Linked DNA regions of Coturnix japonica. The protein of the gene in region 1 purifies or fractionates together with the protein of each later gene. This does not show direct contact. Links are inferred from orthologs where the notes say so. Each region holds a gene or a part of one and is shown in the gene's direction. Other genes may lie near its edges.

Region 1 (3,500 bases):
TCCAGTGTCTGAATGTTTACTAAGTATATTGTCATGGTGTGACTGTGAGAAGAGGAGGTGATATTTCTCAGTTTTACAAAACTGGGACACACAGAAGTGAAAATTAGAAATGCTCACTAAGTTTGCCCTCAGGTTGAGTATCACAGGGTGCTTTTAAAGAGTTCTTACTAAGAAGTACCGTCTTTTTGACTTCACAGCTAGTTGTGAATTATCGGTGTTAGTCTAAGTCAGAATCTGAGGTGTCTCATTCATCTCAGAAAATAAAGAACACAAGCTCACTGAGCTCATGAGAAAAACATGAAGATGGAGGCACTTGGCTGTTACCTTTGCCTGTTCACTGTGTTAAAGGGAGGTTGCAAAATGCTTCCTAATGTCATTTTCAGATGTCTCACTAACAAAGCCATTTTTTCCTTCTTCATTCTCCTGCTTTATTTACTGCAGTCCTTCACCTTCAACAAGATGCATGAGAAGGATTTATTTCAGCAATAGCAAGGCTACTGAACTGACTCCTGTTATTTCATGAATAGTGCATGGGTTTGTGTTTAAAAAAAATTTGACTGTGCTATGCTGCATGGTCTTAAGGGAAGACTTTAAGTATTTTCTGTCTTTTCAGGGGTAGAAAGCAACCTTAATACTCTCTCAGTGTATTTTACTTTTACACTCTCTGATGGTGCTTTTTTAGAACTTGAGCCTTGCACTCAGTTACAGCTCTTTTAGAGGACTGTTTTGTTGAGGTCACTGCCTGTTCTGTCTTCTGCCATTTAGTGTTTTCTTTTCTTCCCTGGTAAGTTCTGCCATTTTCTTTTCCAGATGGCCATTATTTAGTGCCATGGTTGCTCATTTGCACTTCTTGTCCCAGTACTTCAAGATCTGCATCTTGTTTCAGTCATTTGCAACTCATCCTGCTAGACTTCCTCTCATTTTCCTCCTTGTCTCATGTGCCGTGTGTTTTCTTCTTCTAATATACTTATGCAGGTTTAACTGATCATTATATCCCCTCTGGATTCCCAGATGCCTTTCAGATCTGGTATCTCTTTCATGTCTCACCATCAGTTTCTGGTTGAGTTCTTGTGGCTTTGAGATGAAGAAACTGATGGTCCCTCTGGTGTTATTGTACTTGTGATACTTGGTTCTTTCTTCCACGTTTAAGGCAACCTGCTTTCTTCCCCACACGTGTTAGGAGTCAGCAGGTGGTATGTAAAAATAGCAAGAAAAAAGGAGGAGTCCTCAAGAATTGTATGTTAGAACCTCCAGTGTCTCAGGAGAATATACAGATTGCTGGATTAATTAGATCGCAGTTTTGCAGTTTTACTTTGAATCATGTTTAGTGCAAATAGATCCTTCAGAGAACTTTGATTCAATGTTGAATTATCTGTGAAATGGGTAACAGGCTGCTGGGCTCTGAAATCTGCCAAGTTCTGATCATTCCTTTCCCAGTGGGGCAGATCTGAAAAGAAAAACAACAAAATATCAACAGCCAAACTTCAGGTACCTTAACCAGGAGTGGAAGGGATGGATTCATTTTCTCAATCAAACCATTTAAAGAATGTCTTTTATGTGCAGTTTGAGTTTTAACTTGTTTTGTCATGGAAATATGCTTCATTTTTACGTAGATGCTCTGCCACATATTTTAATAATAGGTATATGGAAGTTTATTAAAAAACGTGCTTAGTATGTGTGAGGATGTTTAGAAATCGAGGTAAGAAATTGAAATCCTGTTTATGTTGCTTTAATTTCTCCTAATGTTCAACAAAGTCACTTGCAGAAAACGAGTAGCATGTTCTGAATACTCTTCTGCCTTTTGTTTGTATTAGCAAAAACTCGTGCTGCTGACTTACTGGTGAATCCACTGGACCCACGAAATGCAGATAAAATTAGAGTTAAAATTGCTGACCTGGGAAATGCCTGCTGGGTGGTAAGTGTAACTACATCAATTCAACTCTCTAGTCTTCTCTGTGTAGAACAGCCCTTTTTATTGCTCATTTTTGCCATTAATGTGATTCTTTCTGTTTTAGCATAAACACTTCACAGAAGACATCCAGACCAGACAATATAGATCCATAGAGGTTTTAATAGGAGCGGGTTACAGTACACCTGCAGATATCTGGAGTACAGCATGTATGGTAAGAACTGTACAGTGTGTATTTTTCAAGAAAAGAATCCTAAAAATAGTTGTTTACTGAGGGAAGGAATCTGACGAGGATAATTCTGATATTTTGACAGAAATGTAACGCTATAGATTATATACCGTCAGACAGCAGCTGATTGTTGTTCCCTTTTACTTCAGTATTTTAATCGTCTTTAATCAACAGGAGGTATTTTGGAGAAATGTTCTGGTTTTCATTTCAGGCATTTAAAATCTGCAGTTAAAAATATGTAAGCTTGAAGGGAAAGATGTGTGTATTTTAAATGTCAAAATCCAATTGAAGTAGTATGACTGTATACTTTGTTCCTGTATTAGACTGTGCAATCCTGCGCTGTTTCCTTTTTCTTGCATAAAATAGTGAAAACCTGAAATACTTTAAATTTTGCCAACTTCAGTGAAAGCGTTTGTCAGAGTAGGTTTGCAGATCGCAGCTTTAGACTCTAATCTTGAAGGGAAGGAATTTATTCTATTAGCAAAGTATGTGGTAATGTTGTGTCGAATTTGTTTTAACACAGTAAAACTGATGTGTGTTTTAAAAGCTTTAAAGTGTAGGAAGGATGAAAGGCTAATTGTTGCACTTTCTGAAACACTGATTCTGTTTGCAGTCTCACTTCCAGGACAAGTAATCTACGTGCATTTTCTCATTAGAGTTGGAAACACGTTTAGAAGTACCTTTGTCTATTTAAAAAGTGAAAACTTATTCGAGTCATTATATTTTACAAATATGTATCTGAAAAGATTAAGTGTGTGATGAGGAGGAGAACACTTAAATACTAGACACAGTTTGCAGGCGTGGGTGATGAGAAGAATTGCAGAACTCGGAGAGGAGGAGGACTGAAAGGAACATAAAATCCTACAGATATTATAAGCTCAGCAAGCCATGTGTTGGAAGTAACTGACTATAAGTAAATCTGCAAGTATGTGTTCTCTGGAGTTCAACACTAGTTTTTCTTTTAGTTGATGGAAAAGAACATCCATTTCTAAATTTACTCTTCCATTTTGAGGCAAAATGTAGAATTTTTCTATTGGATTGAAAACAAAGCATAGAAAATTTTCTACAATTTTGAACCCGAATTCTTTATTTATTCTTCCCATAATTAGCTGTAAGAATACTATAGAAACTTTTCATTCCTTATATCTGATATTTTGCGAACTTCTGTTCTACTTGAAACCTTGTTACAGTACTGAATACTCTATATTACTGTATAGTCTTAAAGGTTGTACTGGTTCAGCCTACATCCTGCTAATTGGCACGTGGTGGGAGTTGCTTTATTGTTCCTTTTAAATAGAGAAAACCCCTTTTGAAGGGTGGGATCTGAGGCACAATGTATGAGTTCTTATATTGCAAGATCTT
Region 2 (3,949 bases), on another chromosome or scaffold:
TCGGCCATTGGGAGCCCCAGTGTGGGGTCTGAAGAGCGGGTTCATCACCTGCCCTGTGGTAATCAACCCTCACACACTCAGGAGATACACTATGTAGTTGGGGACACTATGTATTTTGGGGTAGTCCAGGCCCTGGTGCTTGGTGCTTTCCCACAGATCAAATTCAGGCAGGAAACTCTGTTCTCCAGTGTCCCATCTAATTAATGTGCCCTTCAAGGCCTCTTTGAAAACCCGTCCAAGGGCAGTTTGTTGGTTATCTGGATACCAAGTATTGCTCTGCTCTTGTGCTGTGAGACCTCACCTGGAATGCTGTGTGCAGATGGCAATGGGGCAGTGAGGCACAGGTTGCCCAAGGAGGCTGTGGATGCCCCATCCCTGCAGGCATTCAAGGCCAGGCTGGATGTGGCTCTGGGCAGCCTGGGCTGCTGGTTGGTGACCCTGCACACAGCAGGGGGTTGGAATAGGATGAGCATCATGGGCCTTTTCAACCCAGGCCATTCAATGATTCTATGATTCTGCAACCCTTACAGTTCCCTTCCAGCTCAAATAACGCTACAGCTCCATGACTGCTTTCCCTCTTGCAGTGCCCTGCAGCCCCGCTGCCTTCACACATCCTGCAGCCGCCACAACTCCAACCGCACCTCCATCACCCACCTCCGCCGCCAGGTGTTCGGCCGCCTCTACCCGCTGCTGCTGGTCCGCACCGACGGCTCCACCATCCACATCCGCTACAAGGAGCCCAAAAGGATCCTCATGGTAAGAGGTTCGACACAACAATGAGTGCACTCAGGGCTGTGCTTTGCTTTGGGTGCTGCAGCCTCACCCTCTGCCATCCCTCCCCCTGCAGCTGCCCCTGGATAGCAGCACGTTGCCCGAGGCTGAGCGCAAGGCCCGGCTGAGGCGGCAGTTCCCCAGCAAACTGCGGGTCAAGCAGGAGGAGACATTGGAGGAGCTGGATTTGGAGAAATACAAGAAATTCTGGAAGAAATAAAGCACCGATTTGGGGTCACCTCCCACCAAGGCCTCCTTACCGAGCTGACAGACGCAGCTATAGAAATAAAAGCCATTTTGTTAAGGATTTATTAGGGTTTTTAGGTGGTTTTGCCTCATTTTACGCCTGCTTTGGGCCGTTTCCCTCCCCCCTCCTCTTCTCCCCCTCCACGCTGCGGTGGTACCGTCCTCCACCCCTCCGGGCCCGGTGGTACCACCCGGGGAGGGGCTGCAGTGCGCGGGCCCCGCGGCCCGGAGAGGTGCGTGCCGTTGTTGGGGGGGGTCGGGCTTTGGGGGTCTCGGGTTCGGCCGTTTTCCCTTCCACCGTCTCTATGATCCCGGTGTGCGGCCCCGGTCCCCTCCCTCCCGTGCCCCCGAGCTGTGCAGCCCCCGTTGGGCTGTCCCAGCTCATACAGACACCCATTGCCAGTACAGGTAACCCCCCCCAACCCACTCAGACCTCCATTGCCAAGCTATGTGTCCCCTCTCTAACCTATGCAAGCCCATTGCCAGCCCGTGTGTCCCTAATGGGTCATGCAGTCGCCTTCCTCCAACCCACTACAGATCTCATGTCCAGGCTTTGCAGTCCCCCTCTACCCCAAACCCATTCAACCCTCCATCTCCAGACTCCAACCCCACTGATCATGTAACCCCCCCCCTCCCCAAAGCTGTGCACCCTCCTCCACCTCCAGACATTGTAGAATCCACCCCATACTTTACCCTTCCCCTCTATTCTTTACAACCCCCCCCCAGCCCCCACCACTAAGGCATCATCGTGACCCCTGCTTGATACCTAAAACCTCCTATGGCTTTAGGATTGCAATAGGGGGCACCTCCCTGCCCTCCTTCCTCATTGCACTGCAGGGGAACCCTTCATCTCCCTCATCCCACCACAATGCATTGCTGGGGTGGCCCTGTGCCTCCCCATTCCTCCTCCCATTGCCCTGCAGGGGCAGCCTGCTGTTCTGCCATGATAACAGGGCCCATCCTTTTAGCACCCCGTCACCATGTTCGGCTCATCCCGAGGAGGGGTCCGGGGGGGCCAGGACCAGTTCAGCTGGGAAGACGTCAAGACAGACAAACAGCGCGAGAACTACCTGGGTAAGGCCTTCATCCCCAGCCCTGCGTGTGGGGTGAAGATAAAGGACTGGGGATAATGTGGAGCTGTTGTATCCCTGCAGGAAACTCTTTGATGGCACCGGTGGGACGCTGGCAGAAGGGCAAGGACCTGACGTGGTACGCCAAGGGCAAGCAGGAGCCCACCCCGCTGTCCCGTGAGGAGGAGCTGGCGGCCGTGCGCCTGGCTGAGCAGGAGGCCATGATGGCAGCACTGTGAGCACCTCCCTACAAACCCCCTGTGACAACCCTCCCCAAAAATAGACAGTCTGAACTGTGGTGGGCATGGAACATCAGGCATAATGGAATCACGGGCATGGAACAGTGGGCATGATGGAATCACGGGCATGGAACATTGGGCATGATGGAATCACGGGCATGGAACGGTGGGCATGACGGAATGGTGGGTGTGGGATGGTGGGCATGATGGAATGGTAGGCTTGGAATGGTGGGCATGGAACACTGGGCATGGAACATTGGGCATGATGGAATGGTAGGCATGGAATATTGGGCATGATAGAATAATGGGCATGGAATAGTGGGCATGGAACAGTGGGCATGATGGAGTCATGAGCATGGAACATTGGGCATGATAGAATAATGGGCATGGAACGATGGGCATGCAACACTTGGCATGGAATCGTGGGCATGATGGAATGGTGGGCATAGAATGGTGAGCATGGAACATTGGGTATGATGGAGTGGTGAGCATGGGATGGTAGGTGTGGAACATTGGGCATGATGGAATAATGGGCATGGAATGGTGGGCATGGAACATTGAGTATGATGGAGTGGTGGGCATGGAATAGTGGGTATGGAACACTGGGCATGATGGAATGGTGGGCATGGAATGGTGGGTGTGGAATGGTGGGCATGGAACATTGAGTATGATGGAATGGTAGGCTTGGAATAGTGGGCATGGAACAGTGGGTATGGAATGGTGGGCATAGAGCATTGGGCATGTTGGAATAATGGGCATGGAATGGTGGGCATGGAACACTGGGCACGATGGAATCATGAGCATGGAACATTGGACATGGAATGGTAGGCATGATGGGATGGTGGGCATGAAATGGTGGGCATGGAACATTGGGCATGATGGAATGGTAGGCTTGGAATGGTGGGCGTAGAACATTGGGTATGATGGAATGGTGAGCTTTGAACACTGAGCATGATGGAATGGTGGGCATGGAACATTGGGCGTGGAATGGTGGGCATGATGGAATAGTGGGGATGGAATGGTGGGCATGGAACATTGGGTATGATGGAACATTGGCCATGATGGAATGGCGGGTATGATGGAATAATGGGCATGGAACACTGGGCATAATGGAATAATGGGCATGGAATGGTGGGCATGGAACATTGGGCATGGAATGGTGGGCATGGAATATTGGGTATAATGGAGTGGTAGGCGTGGAATGCTGAGCATGGAATGGTGGGCTCTCATACTCCAAAATGGGGTTTGGATGGTGCTGTGCAGAGCTGGGGTTTAGACTTGAGGATCCTTATGTGTCCATTCTGAATGGGGCCATGCTGTGACTGCCTGCTTCTGTCACTAGGGGCTACAAGAACGTGAAGAGGCAGCCCACAGGCCTCAGCAAGGAGGTGAGGCCATCCCCGCTGTCCCTATAGGCCAGGACATCCCCCGTGCTCTGTGTTCCTATGGGCTCTCAATGTTTTGCCCACAGGACCTGGCTGAGGTTTGCAAACGGGACAGCACAGAGCGAGCCGAGGACATGGACCGGGTGGTGGGCTTGGGCAGCTCCAGGTGAGCACTGAAATGCTGCATTTCAGAGCAGCTGTTTAAAAACAAAACACAACGTTTATGTTGGGTTTTATG
Region 3 (4,023 bases), on another chromosome or scaffold:
CCCTCAGGACAGGGAAATCGTGCCAATTACAGAACTACACACCCACCTCTCGATCAGTCCCTGCCCGACGCGGAATCCCATGCTCTCCAGTTTGGTGGTGCAGCGGCCGTTCTCCTGCAAGACACAAGGGCGGCCGCCGCCTCAGCCTCGGGGCCGGCCGCCGCCTGACGGCCTCTGGGGCGGGCAGCGGCCCCACTCACCCCTTCGCCTTGCTCGGCGGCGCGGTACAGCCCCGCCACCATCTCGTTGTGCAGCAGCAGGAACAGCGCCTCGTCCGCCATGGCCGCTCCCCTACGGGCGGCCCCCGCCCGCCGTCACGGCAACGGCCCGCAGCCAACGGGAGCCGCTGCGCTGCGCTGCACCGCCCCTTCCGGGAGCGGGAGGGCTCGGGGCCGGGACTGGGAGAGGCGGAGTGATTCTGGGGCGGGTATGAGAGCGGGGAGAGCGCTGATGTGCGGTGTGTTTGTTTTACATCGCCTTCAAAGCGGCACTTTATGTTCAACCCCCATTTTCTGCCTCTGTAAGATGGCAACCGGTGTGTGCCCCGGTGGCGCAGTGGTTAAAGACGCCGCCTTGCAACACTGGGGCCCGGGGTTCGAATCCCCCCTGTGGCGCAAGTGATAGAAGTGCCGCTCTGCTACACAGAGGCTCGAATCCCGGGGGTTGGACTCGATGATCTCTAAGGTCCCTTCCAACCCGCACGAGACTGTGAGACTATGAGAAACCGGCGGGGTGCAGCCTGAGCGGCCGCAGCCAAAACGGCACCGTGTGCAGTGAGAACGGCGGGCAGCGGAGGGCGAACACAGCACAGTACAGTACAGTACAGTACAGCGCAGCGCAGCGCCCCGCGTGCTGCCCCGTTACACGGGATCACGTTACGCCGCGCGGGAGCGTACAACGCGGCTGCCCGCTGTAACGCCCCTCCTGATTGGTCCGTCAGGCACAGAGGCTGTGGTAGCTCGAAGGTGATTGGCTCCCACCGCAGCAAAGCGACGAAGTAACTTCTCGTTAGCCACGAGAGACGTCGCTCTGGCCCTCCCGCTTTGTGATTCGCAGAGCTGGCAGGCAGCGGCTCTCGGTGATTGGCTAAGAAAGATGTCAGTCTGTCTCTGAGCTTTGTGATTGGTGGCCGAGTGCAGAGATTCTTCCCACGGGGGCGTACCCTCTCTCTTGCAGCTCGCCTATTGGCTGTCGGCGTTACCCGCCGCGGGGCTATTGGCTGCGCCGTCCGTTCCCTCGCGGAGCCGAGTGTTGGCTGCCGGGCGGGGCCTGTCCCGCCGTTACCCAGCGGTGCCTCGCGCCGTGCCCGGCTAGGCCGCGCGGGATGGCGGTGGCGGTGCGTGCGCTGCAGGAGCAGCTGGAGAAGGCCAAGGAGAGCCTGAAACACGTGGATGAGAATATCCGCAAGCTCACGGGCCGGGACCCCAACGATGTGAGGTGAGGGCCGGCTTACCGGGCTCCACTCGAGGAGGCCGCCCCCGCACCCCCGGCGCCACCCCGGGCCGTCGGGTTGCGGCCCCGCGGGGGGTGGGAGGGCGGCGATGGGCCGGGCGGTGCCGCTGAGCGATGTGCTGTGTTCACAGGCCCCCGCAGAACAGACTGCTGGCCCTCTCAGGCCCTGGTGGAGGTAGGGGGCGAGGGAGCTTACTGCTGAGGTAAGGACATGCGGCTCTGCTGCTTTATCGCGACTCCGGGTTGTTATCTTTGCGCGTTCTGTGTGCCGGCTTTGATCCGTGTGTTCACCGTAAGGGATCGGGAGCTGGAACAACGCAGTCAAGTGGGAGGCCTGCGGGAGCGCCCGGGGGTCCATAGCGGTGCCTGCAGTGCCCGGTTTGATCTTGGTGCCTTTTGGTGCGATTCCAGCTGTTAGCCTTAAAGTTAAGGAGGACCTCCAGAATGAAGGGAGGTGCGCTCTGGTGTCCTGGGCCTCCTTCCTTTGAAGTGGTGCAAAATCACTGTCTTGGTAATTAAGAAACTGGTGGTGTTTCAAAGGAGAGTAGAAAGAATGGAAGTCACCGGGATTCATAAAACTCACATAGGGGGATTTCCTTTGTGAATTTACCTTTTCTGCCCTCTTTTATTTCTCAGCTCCATGGTAGAGCCAGAATCAAGAACAGACTCATGTTCAGTAGTTTCTTCTTACCTGAGTACATGGGACGTTTCTTTAATTCTTTTAAATTTCAATATCAAATTGTTGCTGAGGCCTTAACACTTAAGAAAATGAAACTTCTTGAACCTACTGAGGTAGCTTGAGTGCAGCAGCTCCTCTGAATAACTTTAAATGGGTTGATTCACAAACAGTGCATTTAAATACATTATTACTGCAGTAACGTTGAATGAGTATAGAATTGAGTAAAAAGTGTGCCTTGTTCAGAGATCACGAGTGGTTTCCTTTCAGGCGTGGATTCTCGGATAGCGGAGGAGGACCCCCAGCCAAACAGAGGGATATTGAAGGGGCATCCAGCAGGTGGGTGGAAAGATGGATGTGGAGACCCTGCTTTTACTGTGATTCTTGCACAGTGGAGATACTTAAATGTATAATTCTTTCTTTCTTTCAAGGGCTTATGTTGCCTGTGGAATCATGGGGGAGAGAACCATATGGGGAATTAAATAATTCTGTATATTTATGAAGGGCAGAAAACTCAAAGGTGTTGAAATCTGTAGCAAGTGCTGTAGTGAAGAGCACTTTTCATCCTTTAGGGAGGGAATTTCTTGTTCCTCATCCATTCTGCACGAAGCTCCTCCTTTAACTTTGTGGGCGTATTTGATGCAGGCTGTAGTGTATTCTTCAATTTTCTGAATATAGTTACAGCGTTAGATGCCAAATTCTAAAAGCCTGATTAAAAAACTTATGCTAAGCAAAGCAGAAAACTTATGCAGAATTTAATACAGCAGACTGCAATATTAGCCCAGACTTGTTTAACAGTAGACACAAATCGTGACTGGGATTTCCCTTTCATTAATCTTAATACCTCCTGTGTGACAGTTTGTGCAGAAATTGGAGGCTTTCCCAACTGGATGCAGATCCATCAGATGTGGCTTTGGCCATAGGGAGCTGCATTTTTCTGAGTACTTAACATGCAGTGGTAAATCTTGACAAAAGCAATACTTGCTTTTGAATTTTTGATTTATACAAAATATATATTGTGAAATGCTTTACTGGCAGCAAACTGCTATGCCCCAGAGCAAAAGCTGAGAATAAGTTTAATACATTACTGAGCTGTTATGTGTTAAAAACCTCAGGTTATCCAAGGGCTCAGGTCCCTGCTAATTGCTTTGTCTGTCCTTAACTGATTTTCAGGTATTTGCCTAGGTAACCTCAATAGCTTCTTGAATTTGAGAAAATCTTAATCTCCATATCTTAGAGTTAGGGTACTATGAATAGGCTGAGGCTGGACTTGATGATCTTTGAGGTCTTTTCCAACCTGAGTAATTCTATGATGCCTTGATGCTTCTAAATCAAACTCATATTTCTCTTACCCAAATAAACGTTTTAGATACTCTGGAAAAAGAAAAGCTCAAATGAAACAAAATCCAAAGCTGTGCTAAAAAGTCAAATAGTGCAGTAATGTGGGTTCATCATTTTTACTTTAATACCAAAGTTATATTAAAACTTAAATCACTTTTCTCACCTGCTACATTAAAAAATTTATCTCTTGCCACTCTTCTGATCAACGGTTTATGGGGATTGTTGATTCTGATGACTATATATGCTGACTTGTGTAGATGCTGTTGTTAATGCATGTTCTCCAGTGGCCAGTAATGCTTTTTATTCCTCAGGCTGGGTGGAGAGCGTCGGACCAGAAGAGAATCACGCCAAGAAAGTGACGGAGAGGATGATGATATTAAAAAGGTAACTCACAACAAAGGGAGCTGTGCAGGAAAAAAGAAAACGTTTACATGAACTGAGTTGTTTGTATTTCTCCGTTGTAGCCAGCATTACCATCTTCTGTTGTTGCTACCTCCAAAGAGCGAACACGTCGAGACCTTATACAAGATCAAAATATGGATGAGAAAGGAAAA
Region 4 (3,500 bases), on another chromosome or scaffold:
TCACTGCTGAGTCCATTCAGGCTGTACATTGTGGATGGTCTTTTTCCCACCAAAGATGTCTTTTGAACTATGCCTTGAGGTTAAACGTTAATGTGTATGTAATGTATTGTGATCAGAATGGCTGGAGCTGATTCTAGGCAAAGGATGCAAATGAATTTTGTGATTGGATGAACCAAGATTTCATACAGTGCTTTTCAGATAATCTTGGATTCACTGGAGATAACTGTTTTGTTCCTGTCCTGCCTGTTTTCATTGTTCATCTCACCATCCCTGCCTCACTTCTGAGAGAATATACTGCAGATTGGAAATTATTACAGAAAGCAGCACGTCCAACACCCTCTCAGCCACAGAACTACATCAAACTCAGACGCTGAACTGCGAAATCAACTATGGATATCTAGAATACATTCAATTGAATTTCATTATTCTTCTTTCTCATTGTACTTAAAATGAGAGCTATTTCTGATGGGAAATCTTGATCAAAATTTAGATTGGCCTCCATTTGTTTCTGGCCTGTTGTAAAGAGAACTTCTAGTGCCTGTCCAGCTTTAGCTGCTCTCCCCATCACATGAGTAAAACAGACTCACTGTGATATTACCAGTTACCATCAGAAGAACGCAGTTTCAGAGGAGAGATTGTTCCTTGGTTCTGAAGAGGTCTCATAAGACTTTCAAGTTAGTTTACTTTACTTGAAATAATTATGGTCCTTGTTAATTACAGTTACATTTTTGGAGAGTAAGGTTTAAATGGAATAAGAATGGAGGATGAGAAATGCAAGCATTGATGATGATGGGGGTGAGGTTTTGTTAACAGAAATTAAGCCTTAATGAAATATGTAGCAAATGTTGCCAATAGTAGGTTTTAAAGCAGTGGTAGTTTTGCAGTGTTATTGTGGCAGACCATAAATAGTTCTTGCAGTGAAAATTTTTACAGAAGAAGAAATTTTAACTTCCCTGGTCAAAATGTAGCTCAGGTTTATCTGTATGTGATGGTATCTTCTCACCTAGAAAGCTGCAGTTAGAAATAAGCTTATCTCATTTTACTGGTTTCTGAGTTTAATCTTAGCAACCATAACTTAGAGAAGATGAATAGAAATTCAGCTACATAAATGAGAACAGCTGATACAATGGTCTAATTAGTGAATATAGGAGCTTAAAGCTTTGCATTGGGTTGTTTCATCTCAAGTGTGTACTTAATGACTATTGTTCACAAATAGAATTTATCTGCATCAATGGGATTTCTACTACTTTATATACTGCTGTTATCTAGGAGCTTTCGGTGGTATAAACTGTCCCTTAGTGAGCAGAGGGTTTTGTTTAGTAAGAGCAACAAAAGATATATGTATATTAGTATCTTATGCTTTTAAAACTCCTACAGGTTCATGAGTGGAAGGAGCAGTATAGGGTTTTGATTCCTTGCTGTTTAACCACACTGAATATTATGTTACTGGACCATTTGTTTTGTGTTCTTGTATTTCTCCTTCCTAGCTGGTTGCAGATAGTAGTTAATGTGGTCCCTAAAAAGGATTCTTTGAAGTCATTAAATCCGGAAGTTAAGCCTTTCTTCATACAGTTTTTCTACATTTGCCTTTACACGTATGTTAAAGGATTCATTCCCTGCCCTTTATTCTGGTCATGTTTATTTTCCACAAGTGCCAGTGGGAATTGTGAATGTAAGGGGAAGAAACACAATAACATGAAACAGGCGCATGGATGTTTGTGTTTTCCCTCTTTCCAGAAACTTTCTGGTCATTTTTGGATAAACGTTTCCGAAGATTCAAGTCAGAAGCTTTCACAGTGGAGCAGTTCTGCTCACAGTGCCTGTGGCATCAAACTGAATCCTACAACAGAGGGTTAAAAAACAGCTTGTTAAATTGCCAGACATACCAAATTCACACCCAACTAAATGCTTTCTTGGAGAGAAAGCAAACATACCCGGTGTCCCTTTCTCCCACTTGCTAAACACGTATCTGCTTAAACTCTCATGTGCTGGTTTAGTATGTTACTTATCAGTTTCTCTACTTCTTAATGTATGTTAAAAATGGTATCTAGCTGGGGAAAAAAGAATAACCAGAGTCAGTTATGAGCTTTAATATTGTTTCCAAACACAGTTTGTTTAAGGTTGCTGTTGTTATGAATTTTAATAGTGCCAAGTGGTTTATCTGTAAGAAAAAAAAACAAAGGAAGGTTTTCTAATAGCATTAGAGTTTTCTTTTCTTCAGCTATGCTTCTTAAATTCCAGCTTAGCCCTACAGAAAGGTAGATGGCTTGTCCAACATCTCTGTGTATACAACATTATGACAAACTATTTTACAGGAACTGTTTGAGTCGGGAACGGACAAGAATAAAATAATAATACAAAGATGAGAACTTTCTTTAATACGGTGTTAAAGAAATCTTAAGAAAGGGGTTGAGATATTTCTTCTCACATACAAATGCATATATAAATAGTAAAGAAATGTGGATATGTATGTGTGTGGACTAATAGAATTGCTAGTAAGTCATCACATGAAATTCAGAAGAACTTATTGTTACAACATCTGTAGCTACCGGTATATAATGTAATAAGTTTCTATTGAAAGTATTGATACAAATGTTTTTTACATATACAGTCTTTGTGTTCTCTTTCAGGTCTTGAATCATCACGTCCAAATTTAATTCTTGGATTGGTCATCTGTCAAAAAGGGAAACGTCTTGCTACTGGCATGGAAGCAGACAAAATAGAGGAAAAGCGAAGTCGGATTCAATTGCAAGAGGAAGCAGAACCATCTCAGTTCCTGAAGGGGCCAGCAACTTCTTTCCAAGAAAAGAAAACTCCAAAATACACACTTTATTCTGGAGACTCAGCTGTAAGTACAACACCACCTGGGTCTCCTCCGCCGCCGCCTCCACCCCCACTTCCCGTTCCGGAAAGCTCAACAGTTACACCTTCGGTATTAAAGATACTGTCCTCGATTAAAAGCGGAACCACAACTACTGCACCACCACCGCCACCACCACCAGTTTCAGCTACTGCTTCTCCAAGTGGTGCTGCTACACATTCTTCATCTTCAAAAACGGCCACTCCTCTTGAGCACATCCTGCAGACACTTTTTGGAAAGAAGAAATCTTTTGAACCTGTTCCCAAGGATTCTGAAACTGCCCAGTCTTCAAATCAGAAAGCTCAGGCAGCTGCTGAGGGAGGTGTGACGGCTGTTCCTTTGTTAGATCCCATTGTACAACAGTTTGGCCAGATGTCAAAAGACAAAGCTATAGAAGAGGAGGAAGACGACAGACCATATGATCCCGAGGAAGAATATGATCCAGAGAAAGCTTTTGAAATGCAGACAGGTGAAAGTGAAAAACTCTATAATGTGGAAAAGCCGAGTAATACAGCAATACTAGAGGATGAGGCCTATGATCCAGAAGATGAAACTATCTTGGAAGAAGCAAAAGTTGCTGTTGATGATTTACCAAACAAAATGTATACGGATACTAAAAGCAGTGCTGCAGAAACATCTG
Region 5 (3,500 bases), about 120 Mb from region 1:
CAAAAAATGGTGGGAACTCAAATAAAAAGTGAGCTCTCTTGGCTGGGACCTCTCTCTGCCAGCTACCTCATTGCACAGACAGCCTTAAGGCGTGGGCTTCCAGATGGTCTGGGTGGGTGATGTGCAATTCTGCTGTTCTTGATATATAGAGTCACGTTCCTGTTTCTGAGGTGACTTGATGTTTGAGCAGCAGTCTTGTAGGTAGACAATTATTAAATCTGAACTGGAGTAAACCAGATGTGATGCTCAGAAGACAAATTTTCTGAAGAATTTTCAGTCATTGTGCAGCCTGTTACTCAATTGGCAGCATATATTTGTGTTTTGTTGGTTTTGTGTGTGCAGATTCTTTTGGGGTTGAAACTGGTTGTAAACTCCCATCTCCTATATCTATGAATAATGCAGGCTAACACAGAAGATTGTGCTCTGTCCCTTAGCAGCTCATGTTGCTTCTGCAGCATGAAATACTGCTGTTGCCTGTTTTCTTCAGGGTACTGGGTTATGTTTGAAGCTTTGACCTCTAACTTTAGAGAGCACAATTGTGAGCCCAAGGTATCCTCAGGGCCTGCTTAAGACAGATGCTGACAGATCTGCTTCCTTTGCTTAATGGATATGTTTGTGTGGAGAATGTGGTGCTGGAGATAGCTTCTTTGAGGAAAGGAATTATGTAGTGTGATATCTAGCATGATATTGTGAAGGATGTGCTTTCAGGGCCTGAAACACATTAGTTATCAACAGTTAGACTTTTCATTAAGCCTCAGTGCTGAAATTTCATATGTTTTAATGTAGAAGAGATTGGGAGTAGCTGTTCTATTCTGTTCAGCTATCGTGGACGTATTCACTGGAAATGTATTTATATAACACCGAAATTCAGTGCAACAACCTGAGTATATTTTAATTTCCCTCATTTCACAGTTGTTTTTGATGCAGAGAATATACAGTTAGGATGCATCAGTGTGATCGTCTTTCCTCATTGGTTTCTTAAAACTATTGCTTAAGTAGTAGTATTAAGTAGTATTAACTTTGGTCATCACCCAGACAGCTGGCTGTCTCTAACACATCATCAATGTGCATATGGTAATGGAAATCTTCATTTCAGTAGCATAGTTTCTGCTATATTATTTCTTTCATTTCTATTCACATAGGCTAACTTTACACTACTAAGAGTTACCCAGTACTACAGATCAGTCTTCACTGATTTCATAATGGAGAAATTATGGAAGTACTTATTGTAGCTCTTATTATTCTTCAGGACTATTAGGCAGTTGAAGCCCTAAATAGTTTGTTCTAGTTTGCTTTGAAATGGTGTGTGGAGTATTGTTTGGAAAATCTCACTTCTAAGAAATTACTTCTCTGAAGAAAAATGTGATGCTTAGTGATCTTTCATCTCTGGACTCACTCTTAGAAAATACCCCCAGATGTTTTTCGATTACTTTACAAGTAAAGATTTCGATCCTCTATATGGAATTGGTGATACTAGTTTTAGATATTCAGTTTCATAATTTAATCTCTTCTGTGTGTTTTTGTTAATCTGTTTGCAGATGTGATGCAGATCCATCTGCCCTAGCTAAATATGTTCTGGCTTTGGTAAAGAAGGATAAAAGTGAAAAGGAGCTGAAGGCATTGTGTGTTGATCAGCTGGATGTATTTCTTCAGAAAGGTATGTCATGACTCTTAAGCTTGATTGAAAAGTTTAATTCAAACAGACTTTTAATGTAGACTTCTTTGTCCATTTCTTCATCAGCTTTATTACTTGAAAGTATGTATTTCAATTTGCATGAAGGAATAAAAAAGAAAAAAGGACAAAAGCCACAGGTTTTGCATAATTTATAGATTTAATTTCTTTGTTTTATTTCTTAAGTGTGTATTTTTTTTGTCTGTTTTTATTCCTGGAAGAAAACTAAGAATGTTAGGAATTACTGCCTGAATTAGAAGCCCTGAATCTTTCTGTATGTTAAAAAATGTTCTTCTAGGTGGTTGATAAGAAGATACCAAAAATATGAATGCCTATATGAAACACTGTAATTATTGACATGTTTCTTGACCTTGTAAAAGTCCTTTTGAAATACGAAGTATAAAAGCAAAGTTGAGGAGGGTGGGGGGAATGTGCAAATAATTGTTTGAACTTTTTTGAACTTTTTTAGTTTTTAAAAGCATATATTAGGTTTGAAGACTGAATATTTATTCTTTACTTTTAGAAACTCAGATATTTGTGGAAAAACTGTTTGATGCTGTGAATACAAAAAGCTATCTACCTCCACCAGAACAGCCATCATCAGGAAGCCTAAAAGTAGAGTTCTTTCAACACCAGGAGAAGGAGACAAAAAAAGAAGAGGTAAACGCTGACATCATTTTATCTGTGTACCTTTTTTTATTCCTTCCCATGACTTACTTATTTAGTTCAACTGCATCATGTGTGTTTATTAATAGCCCCAAGTTTAGTATCAAAATTTGCACTGCAACTTTAAGATGTCTGGTGGTTTGTGTCTCATATGTTAAGCACAGCGTTTCTGAACATAAGAACGTAGGTAATAGAATTTCCTGAGTAAATCAAAATGGTTCTTACTGTGCAAATGGAAACAGAGTTCCTGGGTATTGCAGAATGTGCGGCACAATCCAATCTGCATTAGTTTTTTTGCTCAGGAGACTGCTCTAATTAATGCTGCCCTTTTAATTTGCCATTTCAAATGACAGTACTCATTCATTAAGCTGTTTGATCCTGGAAATGTTCTGGCACTGGTGTTTACATGGTTCTATGACCCAGAGAAGAGTAGGTTAGCCCTTTTTCAATAGCTGCTTAGGTTTGGTTGCATGAGTGTTTAACCATTATGTCAACAATGTAATCTGCTGAAAAGACGTTATTATGCCACTCATGGAACATTCCTGTGTACCCAGGTCTTTCACTGTAGCTCAATATGGATTTCTCCACCTGTATCAAAAGTAGTTGTATTTCCAGTGCAGCATAATAAACATTTCTTATACTACTTAATCTTCTCCCAAACAGTGCTCTGAGTATCCTCAGAAATGAGAAATTTAGTATATTATTATATTAGAAGTAAAAATCTTATTCTGTTTCAATTGTTGCTGCAGATTCTGTTCAGTACTTGAGATTTTTGTTTTTATTTGGTTGTACAGAATTCTTTGGTATAGTGTACTGATGTGTTGATCTAATATATATAATTAAAATTCAGATAGTTAAAGAGGAAGAGCGAGAGAAGAAGTTCTCCAGAAGACTAAATCACAGCCCTCCTCAGTCAAGTTCACGCTGTAGAGACACCAGGTAATAAACTTTTCTGAATCTCTTGTATTGTATCTTTGTGACATTACAAATATTTCCTTTACATACAGTCACCTATTAAGTCTAAAATAAAACAGTTGCAACTCAACAAGTGTGCCCCGGTGGCGCAGTGGTTAAAGACGCCGCCTTGCAACACTGGGGCCCGTAGTTCGAATCCCCCCTATGGCGCAAGTGGTAGAAGTGCCGCTCTGCTACACAGAGGCTC
Region 6 (4,092 bases), on another chromosome or scaffold:
AGGAGGGGGAAGTTGGACAGAGCAGCCACCGAGCTGCAATGTCAGATGTTTGTTAGATGTAAAAATAGCTTTTTGCAGGGCTGCCTATGACGGGTTTTTTCCTACATGACCTTCATTATCTCGATACGTTCACGATCAACCAGTTGCATGTAAACAGAACCATCATTGCCGAGGAGTTCTGCTACTGCTGTGCCACCGTCCTACAGCCCAGCACTGTCAATAGGGCCTTTGATTCAGCAGATCTGTGGATGGTAACTGAGTTGCTAACCATTCCCTTCACTGTTTTGCCCCAATGAAATCCTATTAGCTATCCCTGTTTTAAACCCCACGCGTTACACGTGAGAGTAAAATAAGAAACAAACTGCTGTTTTTAATTGACTGCCACATATAGAAAGTGTATTTGTCCTATGGGTGTCCAGCCGTGTAGCTGAAAAAACAACAGATATAAGTGAGTCCTGGCTGAAGGAGCAGGTTAATGAATGTTCTTGTTTTCCATTGTAAGGATGTTGGTGAGGTGTCATTCCAAATAGCCAGCACTGGGCTTCAGGCTCTTATGTTAGATACATTTGTGGCATGACGGCCTGTGTATCACTTTAACAGTTGTTTGTTTCTTTATTTTCCAATGAATGTTGTATTTCAGGTGTCCGAGGCTGGGTTGGAAAAAGTTCTGACTTAAACCCGTTAGCACAGATAGAAGTAAAGCTCCTGAGATGGACAGGAGTCCCACCACATTGAAATAGCTGCTGGGCTTCCAGGTGGGGCTGGAACATGGACCTGTTGTCTATGAGGGATGGCAAAGGGCTGGTTGGGGCTTCTGCTGGGCAACTCCTCACCTTAGGCCAAGAAATGAATCTCCTTCATTCCGTTTTAACTTATCTTTGTGGATGGATGTTGTTTAATGTCTATTGCTGAACCGATTGTTTTCTATTAAATTTGTTACCCCCTTCCTTTGTGGTCAGAATATCATCTGTCAGCCCAGCAAGTCGTGCTGTGTTAAATCGCTTCTGGAGCGTTGGTGCTTTTGGTTCTTTTGGTTTCCTACCACACAAGTGTGACCTTGGTGCTTCACAGCCGCAGTGCATGTCGCTCTGGTGACGTGCATTGTGCTCACTGAGGTCTCTGGAGCAGGACGTGGTGCTGCAGGGGTTATTTTATCCCATCTCTCCTGTCGGACCCAGCCCGACCCACAAACACTTTATTTTCCTTTTCTTCCCCGTTTTATTTCCGCGTTGTCCCGCCCGCTCACACTGCGCTGCGCCCTCCGGCCGCCAGGGGGCGCTGCGGCGCCGTGACGGGCAGGAAGTGGTTCAGGCCGCTTCCCGCCGCGCTGCCGCCTCGCCTCGTCGTTCCGGTGCTGAGGCGCCGAATGGCCGCCGTGTGGTAGCGCAGGGCCCGCACCGCCGAACCGCCATGGGCCGGGAGTCCAGGTGAGGGCAGCGGGGACACGGACGGGGACACAGGCGGCACGACCCGCTCCGGGGCCCGCGGGTGCTTCGATAGCGGCCGGGCGGCTGCGTGTGGGAACAAAGGCCGCACGAAGCGGCCTGCGCTGCGCTGAGGGACCGCGCGGGTCCTTGCGCCGCTGTGAGCAGCTGCGGCCGGGCCGAGAGATCGGGATTTTAGTGTTTGATTCCTGTTGTTGAGGCGTTTATGGCACGTATCTCTTCAAGTTTCAGCGTCATCTTGGACCTTTTGTCCTCGCAGCTGACACAAACACCTCACTGGGCGTTTTAACTAATTCAGCAGTAATGTGATCACACGCTCCTTGTGTGTCTCGGTCGGTGCTGCCGGGTGCTGTGGAGCTGCTCGCACCCGTTGGGCTTTAAACCAGCTGTGCCGTGTGCTCATGCTGTTGTTACATTTGTACTGACTAGTTTATCATCAGATTTTAACCCTGAAACAATGTTAACAGCCTGATAACAGTCTGCAGGCTACAAAATCTGCTGGCAGCTCCTGGTGCTGCCTTTGGATCTCTCAGGACTCCTTTGCTTACCTCAGTACAGCTTCCATTCTGATAATGTGGTTTTAGATGGGCTTTAGGGTTGGACTGAACAGAAAAGTCTGCAGAAAGCACTCACAGTGTGTTTGTCAAAGCAGGCCACGGGGCTCTAATTGTATAAGCAGCCCCCGCTGCTCCCACTTGCATCCCTTGCTCTCCTAGAAGCTCCATCCCCTTCTGCAAGTCTTTATGTTGTGGGGCAGCTGCATGGTGAACTGGGTTGTATCAATTAAAATCAATCAATCAATAAAGTAATATGGGGTTTCAAACTCAGCTGTCTAACGTGGTTTATAGTGTTCAAAATGCTTTAAAAGATGGTGAGAGTGAGAGGGAGTGGGGGGTGGAGAAGGGCAGGGTAGGTCCTGGAGTTGCTGTAGGGACTCATCAGACTGAAATGAGATGCCCAGATTTGTTACACGTTGTAGAGGAAGAAAAAGAAATCTTGGGGGGAAATGGGGAGCAGTTCTCATGGCATTTTGGGGCTGAGATGGGAAGAAATCAGAGATATCTGACAGTGACTGATGTTCTCCACGTTCAGTCATACTGCTGTAGGCAGGATATAGATGTCACGCTGCTACTGCACTGATTCCAAATGTACATGGTACCTAAATATACCGATGTGCTGAAATAAACTCTATTATTTTTAGTGCCAGCACTGTTGTAATACAGTTCTGTTGGCAGTGACAAAAGGGAAGGGACATGGGGGACTTGAGGTCTTGCTTTCTCTGCTTCTTCCCACTTCCCGAACTGTCCTCAAACTTGTGCTTATCTTTATCCTGTGACTTCACAACGCAGGCATTATCGGAAGCGCTCTGCGTCGCGGGGACGCTCCGGGAGCCGCTCTAGAAGTCGTTCTCCATCTGATAAAAGGAAACGTGAGGACAGACGCTCCAGGAGCAGAGATCGGGATCGCAGACGGGAGCGATCGCGCAGCAGGGACAAGAGGAGGTCACGCTCACGTGACAGGAAGCGCCAGAGGTATGAGCTCCAAAGTAGGGAAGAATGCTTGCTATCCAGTGCTGATATTCTTCCTCTACAGCTGTTTACTTTGTTGTTGCTCATGATAGAACTTAATATTTTGGCTTATTAAGTAATGTCTTGTTGCTGGTGCTGGTGTTTGTAAGCTGTTAGTGATCCTTGGTGATTATTGGATTCCTTTTAAAAGCCAAAATTACACTGTTGCCACATGCTGAGTAAGTACACTTTTGTTCTGGGGCAGACGTTCAAGAAGTAGAGAAAGGGAACGGAGTCGGGAGAGAAGAAGATCACGAAGCCGAGAGAGAAGGCGCTCCAGGAGCAGAAGCAGAGGCAGACGGTCTCGATCCCCCAGTCCAAGCAAGAACAGGAAGACAGAAAACAGGTATTTGTGTTCTGTAGTTACAGTCCGGATCATAGTTACTCATTACTGTAAACATACTGATATATTGGAAGGAATCATTGTGCAAAACCAACCAAAGATTTTGTGTATAGAGCAAGGAGAATTTTCCTAGCATACTGTAATTTCCCATCGCTTAATGTCCCTTGAAGGACTAAGTATTTTTATATTCCTTACTTGAGGGGCCGTAAATGCTATTCTGGGTATGCATAATTATTTCTAATGCTGTTTGTTGTGAGAATGTTTTTTGTAAGATGAGTAGTAGATCCACAAGTTCTAACAGCAGTCTGGATAGAGAACAAGCAGGTTGACAACAATCCAGAAATTATGAGCAGCTGGAATGAGTCTTTCAGGATAATCATATGGCTGGCATTAGAATTAATCTTTCAGTGGGCTGTGAAGTGATCTCAATGAGATTTAATTGGCTAAAGTGAATTTTACATTTATTGTTATGAGCTAGCAAACATTTGGTTCAGATACGTTTCTTTTTAATAGGAAACATGTTATGATAACAAAATCTGTGATAAGTGGGTTTTGTTTTAAATGGAAGTCTGCATGTTGCATACGACAAGTACTATATATATAAGTACATATAAGTACTGCTATAAGTAGCTTTTCCCAGATAGAGGTGTTTCAGTGTCCTTAAGGCAGTAGTGTGCAGAGGAACATTCAGACTTCCATAGCAGGAAGCAAGATCACTTTACCTTCTCCTAGAAAT
Region 7 (3,500 bases), on another chromosome or scaffold:
AGAGGAGGTAACGTGGGGATCACTGATATCTTTCAGGTGTGGCAATACATTACTTTGATGAGGAGGATTTTTCTCATTGACTGCCCAGGGGTGGTGTATCCATCTGGAGACTCAGAAACAGACATTGTTCTGAAGGGAGTGGTATGTATCTGTGCTGTGTGCAGGGAAAATTCTTGCTGTTTTCACCATGGTGAGTTCAAAGAAGTGTCTGCACGCTTTCCAAAGGGTTGATACTTTACCATTCATTTTTAGGTTCAAGTTGAAAAGATTAAGAGCCCTGAAGATCACATTAGTGCGGTGCTGGAAAGAGCCAAGCCAGAGTACATCAGAAAGACATACAAAATTGATTTCTGGAAAGATACAGAAGATTTCCTTGAGAAGCTTGCTGCTAGGACTGGAAAACTACTAAAGGTTTGAGAGCATCCTGTATTTACAGGTTGGAAGAGCATGTGGGTTTGTTTCTGCACTGGAAGTGCGAAATACGTTTCAGTTGCAAAGAGATAATATAAAGATGGTATGCCCTGCAAACAAGGACAGAAACTGTTACTGAATTCTTTCAGGGTGGTGAGCCTGATCTGCAAACTGTCAGCAAGATGGTTCTCAATGACTGGCAGAGGGGCAGAATTCCGTTCTTTGTGAAGCCACCAAATGCAGAAGCAGCTGCTGAGGTAAGGATGTGAGGCTCGTGCCTCTTCTTGCATATTATTCCATTCTTCTAATGATACTCACTGATGCTTTTGCCAGAGCACCATGTAAATTGGGCTTTTCCTGACATGATTCAGAGCACCGGATAGCAAAGAACTCTTCCACAGAGATGTCTGAACTGTTTTGCAGTCATCCAACTAGTAGAAATGTCAGTAATTACCACGTTGTTAGTTATCTTAGGCTTCGTCCAAGGGGATGTTTGGACAGGCTGTGGATAATATATCCATTACGCCCTTTTTCCTAGCCACCCGCATCGGAAGGAGCAATGACATCAAGCCAATTTAATAATGAGAAGGAAATTTCTGAGTCTGTTGCATCAAATGTGGAGCCAACGGAAGAGAAGAAGAATGCAGACACTGAAATGAAGCAGCTCATGGCAAATGTTCGGCAAAACTTTGGGAGGATTAATGTAGCACCTGAGTTCTCAGAAGAAGACTTAATTCCTGTAGATGTGCCAGGCTTTGATGAAACAGACAGTGATGCTCCTGAAGAGGAGGAACAGGAAGAAGAGGAAGAAGAAAATGAGCAACATCAAGATTCAGTAGAGGAAGAATCAGAGCCAACTGTACAGAGTGCCAGGGAGAGCTCGAAGGAAGTTCTTCAGGCTTTGGAGGAGAAGATTGCAAAGTGCAAGAAATTTCTGGATAAGGCCAAAGCCAAGAGGTTCTCAGCAATAAGGTATCTGAATCTGTTTAGTGACTCGAGTGTTTTCCATTGCGGGGGGGTGGGAAAGAGATGGTGAGTTTCTGTTGTAGTTCCACTGCCTTTATGTCCATTGCTTCTCTACTTTAGCCATGCTTTCTTTTGGCTAAGCAGCAGTTTGTTTTTGAGAGAGTGTTCTAAGAATTTCTATTGGCCATAATAACGGAAGTTTTTCTCACTGTTGGTTCAGGTATGGTTTAGAAACCTGTGGGTAGCAATATTTCTTCCTTGCATCTCCCTGATATTGACCTTTCTTGAGTAATACAGAGGCCAGTGTCCTATCTGTACATGAGTCTCTGTGCATTTACAAGAGCATCCCAGCTCGTATGACAGGCCCAATTTTAGCGGAGCTCATCCACCATGTTTGTGAGGACTAAGACGTCAAGAATAAGTGTTAAATTTTGCCCTTTGTGCAATGCAGAAGTCCAGTAACTCTAGAGACAAGATTACTGGAATATTTCTACCATGCAAAGTCTGCGGCTGTACTGATGACAGGCTGCTGGGACCTATCAGAGATGGATCGCTTCTTAGAGATGGCTGAGTTTTGTATTATGACATTCTTTTGCTGTCTGTTTTATCTTTTGTAGAATCCCTAAGCAGCTGAGTGAAAAAGTGTTTGCAAAATCTGTGCAGAAGGCTGAAGAGACCAAAGAAAAGGAAGAGAAAGGTAAAATGAAATTGGTAGTTCCTGATCTCTGTCTGGAAATCCAATAAGAGAGAGAAAATAGGGGATTTAAGGAAGGGTGTTCATTAGCTCCTCACTGCAAGTTCTTATTTCCCTAAAGCTGCTATATAAACCTCAGCTTAGTGAATCTAAGGGCTGCCTCATGAGCTTGTTATAGTCTTTCTATAGAGCTGTAGAGCCTGTATAGTAAAATGTGATCTCTGCTACTGAGTGAAGATAAAGACAAATGTTGTGCTCTCAGCAGAATGGTGCTGTGGGTGGTTTGCTGTCTCAGCAACATCCATTCCACACGGTATAGTATTACACAGCAGGGGGTGGAAGCATTTTATGACATTATAAAAGCACAGAGCTACTGCAGGCTATAGGTTTTACTGTGGTCACTTTTTTGAGGGTCTGTGTCTTCAGTTTCCAAAGCAAGTTTGATTAAAGGCAGAATAATGTGGGAGAACCCTATAGTGACAAGACTGACATTTTTCTAGGCTTATGTAAGGCTTGAAGCAATCTGCTTATCATGAGTGGTTTTCTGGTAAGGGACAGACATGTTGTTTTGGTAAAAGCTATTAAAATACCATCAAAGGATTGCTATGCTGAAATAGATGGGACAGTGACCCCAGTCTTAATTCTGTGGTGTTGTGGAAGATGCTGGAGTCCATAATCTCTGCTGTTTGCAGGTGGCACAGTGAAGAAAAGAAAAAGGAATATAGAAGAGGAGGATGATGAAGACCATTCGGGTAAACAGCCTTGCAAGAAGCTTACATCCAAAGAGGTAAGTGGGATCTCTCATTGTGTAATGGATGAGTGGAGTAATTGAGCTGGCTCTTTCCTGAATGGATTGTCCATTATTATTTGAGAGGTTTGAAATCTGACATTAGTAGCTGTCTAATGTGACAGCAATATGTTCCAGCAGGCCATGTGCCCATTAGAGGCACCAGCAGGCAATAATGACAGTGTTGAAAAGGAGAATCCTTTGTAGATAACTGTTCTGCTTACCCAGTGATGCTGGTGAGAGAGCAGGGATCTACATCTGACAGATAAGAGATCTAGATGGGCTAAAGTCAGTGGCTGTTCTGTACAGCAAGAGCTGCTGCTCCTATTTCTTGTGTTTGTTGAGTCTAAACAGACTCACTTGGTGTTTGTAGCATGTTAAAGCGATGTATAAGCAAATCCTGTACAGCAAGGGGTTTGGGTTTTTGTTGGTTGGTTTTTTGGGGGGTGGGGTATTAATATATATGGACTATTAGGACTGTCAGATGAAGAGTGACTATTCATGCAGGTTTGGCCACAGTCTCTGTGACTACACACATCAGTTTCCTTGTAATTCTTCTCTATATTTGTAGAGATTAAACTCTATCCTATTATGTGACATTTTAAGAGCTTGAGCTGGGTGGATTTTGTATAGCTGTATGTA

The links.
Region 2: the proteins of SRPK2 (region 1) and C2H1orf35 purify together in Homo sapiens (affinity purification with mass spectrometry; 3 studies listed by BioGRID and IntAct, with this or other methods). This does not show direct contact. The link is inferred for Coturnix japonica from reciprocal best matches to the Homo sapiens genes SRPK2 and C1orf35.
Region 3: the proteins of SRPK2 (region 1) and PNN purify together in Homo sapiens (affinity purification with mass spectrometry; 3 studies listed by BioGRID and IntAct, with this or other methods). This does not show direct contact. The link is inferred for Coturnix japonica from reciprocal best matches to the Homo sapiens genes SRPK2 and PNN.
Region 4: the proteins of SRPK2 (region 1) and DIDO1 purify together in Homo sapiens (affinity purification with mass spectrometry; 3 studies listed by BioGRID and IntAct, with this or other methods). This does not show direct contact. The link is inferred for Coturnix japonica from reciprocal best matches to the Homo sapiens genes SRPK2 and DIDO1.
Region 5: the proteins of SRPK2 (region 1) and RBM26 purify together in Homo sapiens (co-immunoprecipitation; 3 studies listed by BioGRID and IntAct, with this or other methods). This does not show direct contact. The link is inferred for Coturnix japonica from reciprocal best matches to the Homo sapiens genes SRPK2 and RBM26.
Region 6: the proteins of SRPK2 (region 1) and DDX46 purify together in Homo sapiens (affinity purification with mass spectrometry; 4 studies listed by BioGRID and IntAct, with this or other methods). This does not show direct contact. The link is inferred for Coturnix japonica from reciprocal best matches to the Homo sapiens genes SRPK2 and DDX46.
Region 7: the proteins of SRPK2 (region 1) and GNL2 purify together in Homo sapiens (affinity purification with mass spectrometry; 3 studies listed by BioGRID and IntAct, with this or other methods). This does not show direct contact. The link is inferred for Coturnix japonica from reciprocal best matches to the Homo sapiens genes SRPK2 and GNL2.

The regions. Positions count from the first base shown.
Region 1 is NC_029516.1:12,444,130-12,447,629, reverse strand, and holds part of SRPK2 (SRSF protein kinase 2), read left to right. Parts: intron 1-1,814; coding exon 1,815-1,915; intron 1,916-2,015; coding exon 2,016-2,123; intron 2,124-3,500. UniProt on the Homo sapiens protein: Serine/arginine-rich protein-specific kinase which specifically phosphorylates its substrates at serine residues located in regions rich in arginine/serine dipeptides, known as RS domains and is involved in the phosphorylation of SR splicing factors and the regulation of splicing.
Region 2 is NC_029517.1:2,070,663-2,074,611, forward strand, and holds the start of C2H1orf35 (multiple myeloma tumor-associated protein 2), read left to right. Parts: upstream 1-1,149; 5' UTR 1,150-1,250; intron 1,251-1,274; exon of another isoform or gene 1,275-1,425; intron 1,426-1,985; 5' UTR 1,986-1,997; coding exon 1,998-2,091; intron 2,092-2,171; coding exon 2,172-2,322; intron 2,323-3,668; coding exon 3,669-3,714; intron 3,715-3,797; coding exon 3,798-3,877; intron 3,878-3,949. Other genes in the region: MRPL55 (39S ribosomal protein L55, mitochondrial), read left to right, coding at 585-756, 848-991.
Region 3 is NC_029520.1:34,113,753-34,117,775, forward strand, and holds the start of PNN (pinin), read left to right. Parts: upstream 1-1,223; 5' UTR 1,224-1,324; coding exon 1,325-1,437; intron 1,438-1,583; coding exon 1,584-1,655; intron 1,656-2,398; coding exon 2,399-2,467; intron 2,468-3,569; exon of another isoform or gene 3,570-3,780; coding exon 3,781-3,853; exon of another isoform or gene 3,854-3,873; intron 3,874-3,933; coding exon 3,934-4,023. Other genes in the region: TRAPPC6B (trafficking protein particle complex subunit 6B), read right to left, coding at 47-114, 201-281. UniProt on the Homo sapiens protein: Transcriptional activator binding to the E-box 1 core sequence of the E-cadherin promoter gene; the core-binding sequence is 5'CAGGTG-3'. Capable of reversing CTBP1-mediated transcription repression.
Region 4 is NC_029535.1:7,513,310-7,516,809, reverse strand, and holds part of DIDO1 (death-inducer obliterator 1), read left to right. Parts: intron 1-2,630; coding exon 2,631-3,500. UniProt on the Homo sapiens protein: Putative transcription factor, weakly pro-apoptotic when overexpressed. Tumor suppressor. Required for early embryonic stem cell development.
Region 5 is NC_029516.1:137,286,013-137,289,512, forward strand, and holds part of RBM26 (RNA-binding protein 26), read left to right. Parts: intron 1-1,538; coding exon 1,539-1,657; intron 1,658-2,195; coding exon 2,196-2,332; intron 2,333-3,188; coding exon 3,189-3,277; intron 3,278-3,500. UniProt on the Homo sapiens protein: May be involved in the turnover of nuclear polyadenylated (pA+) RNA.
Region 6 is NC_029528.1:2,449,291-2,453,382, forward strand, and holds the start of DDX46 (probable ATP-dependent RNA helicase DDX46), read left to right. Parts: upstream 1-1,292; 5' UTR 1,293-1,410; coding exon 1,411-1,427; intron 1,428-2,794; coding exon 2,795-2,977; intron 2,978-3,218; coding exon 3,219-3,359; intron 3,360-4,092. UniProt on the Homo sapiens protein: Component of the 17S U2 SnRNP complex of the spliceosome, a large ribonucleoprotein complex that removes introns from transcribed pre-mRNAs.
Region 7 is NC_029538.1:3,330,734-3,334,233, forward strand, and holds part of GNL2 (nucleolar GTP-binding protein 2), read left to right. Parts: intron 1-36; coding exon 37-141; intron 142-252; coding exon 253-411; intron 412-560; coding exon 561-668; intron 669-949; coding exon 950-1,383; intron 1,384-1,994; coding exon 1,995-2,074; intron 2,075-2,763; coding exon 2,764-2,858; intron 2,859-3,500. UniProt on the Homo sapiens protein: GTPase that associates with pre-60S ribosomal subunits in the nucleolus and is required for their nuclear export and maturation.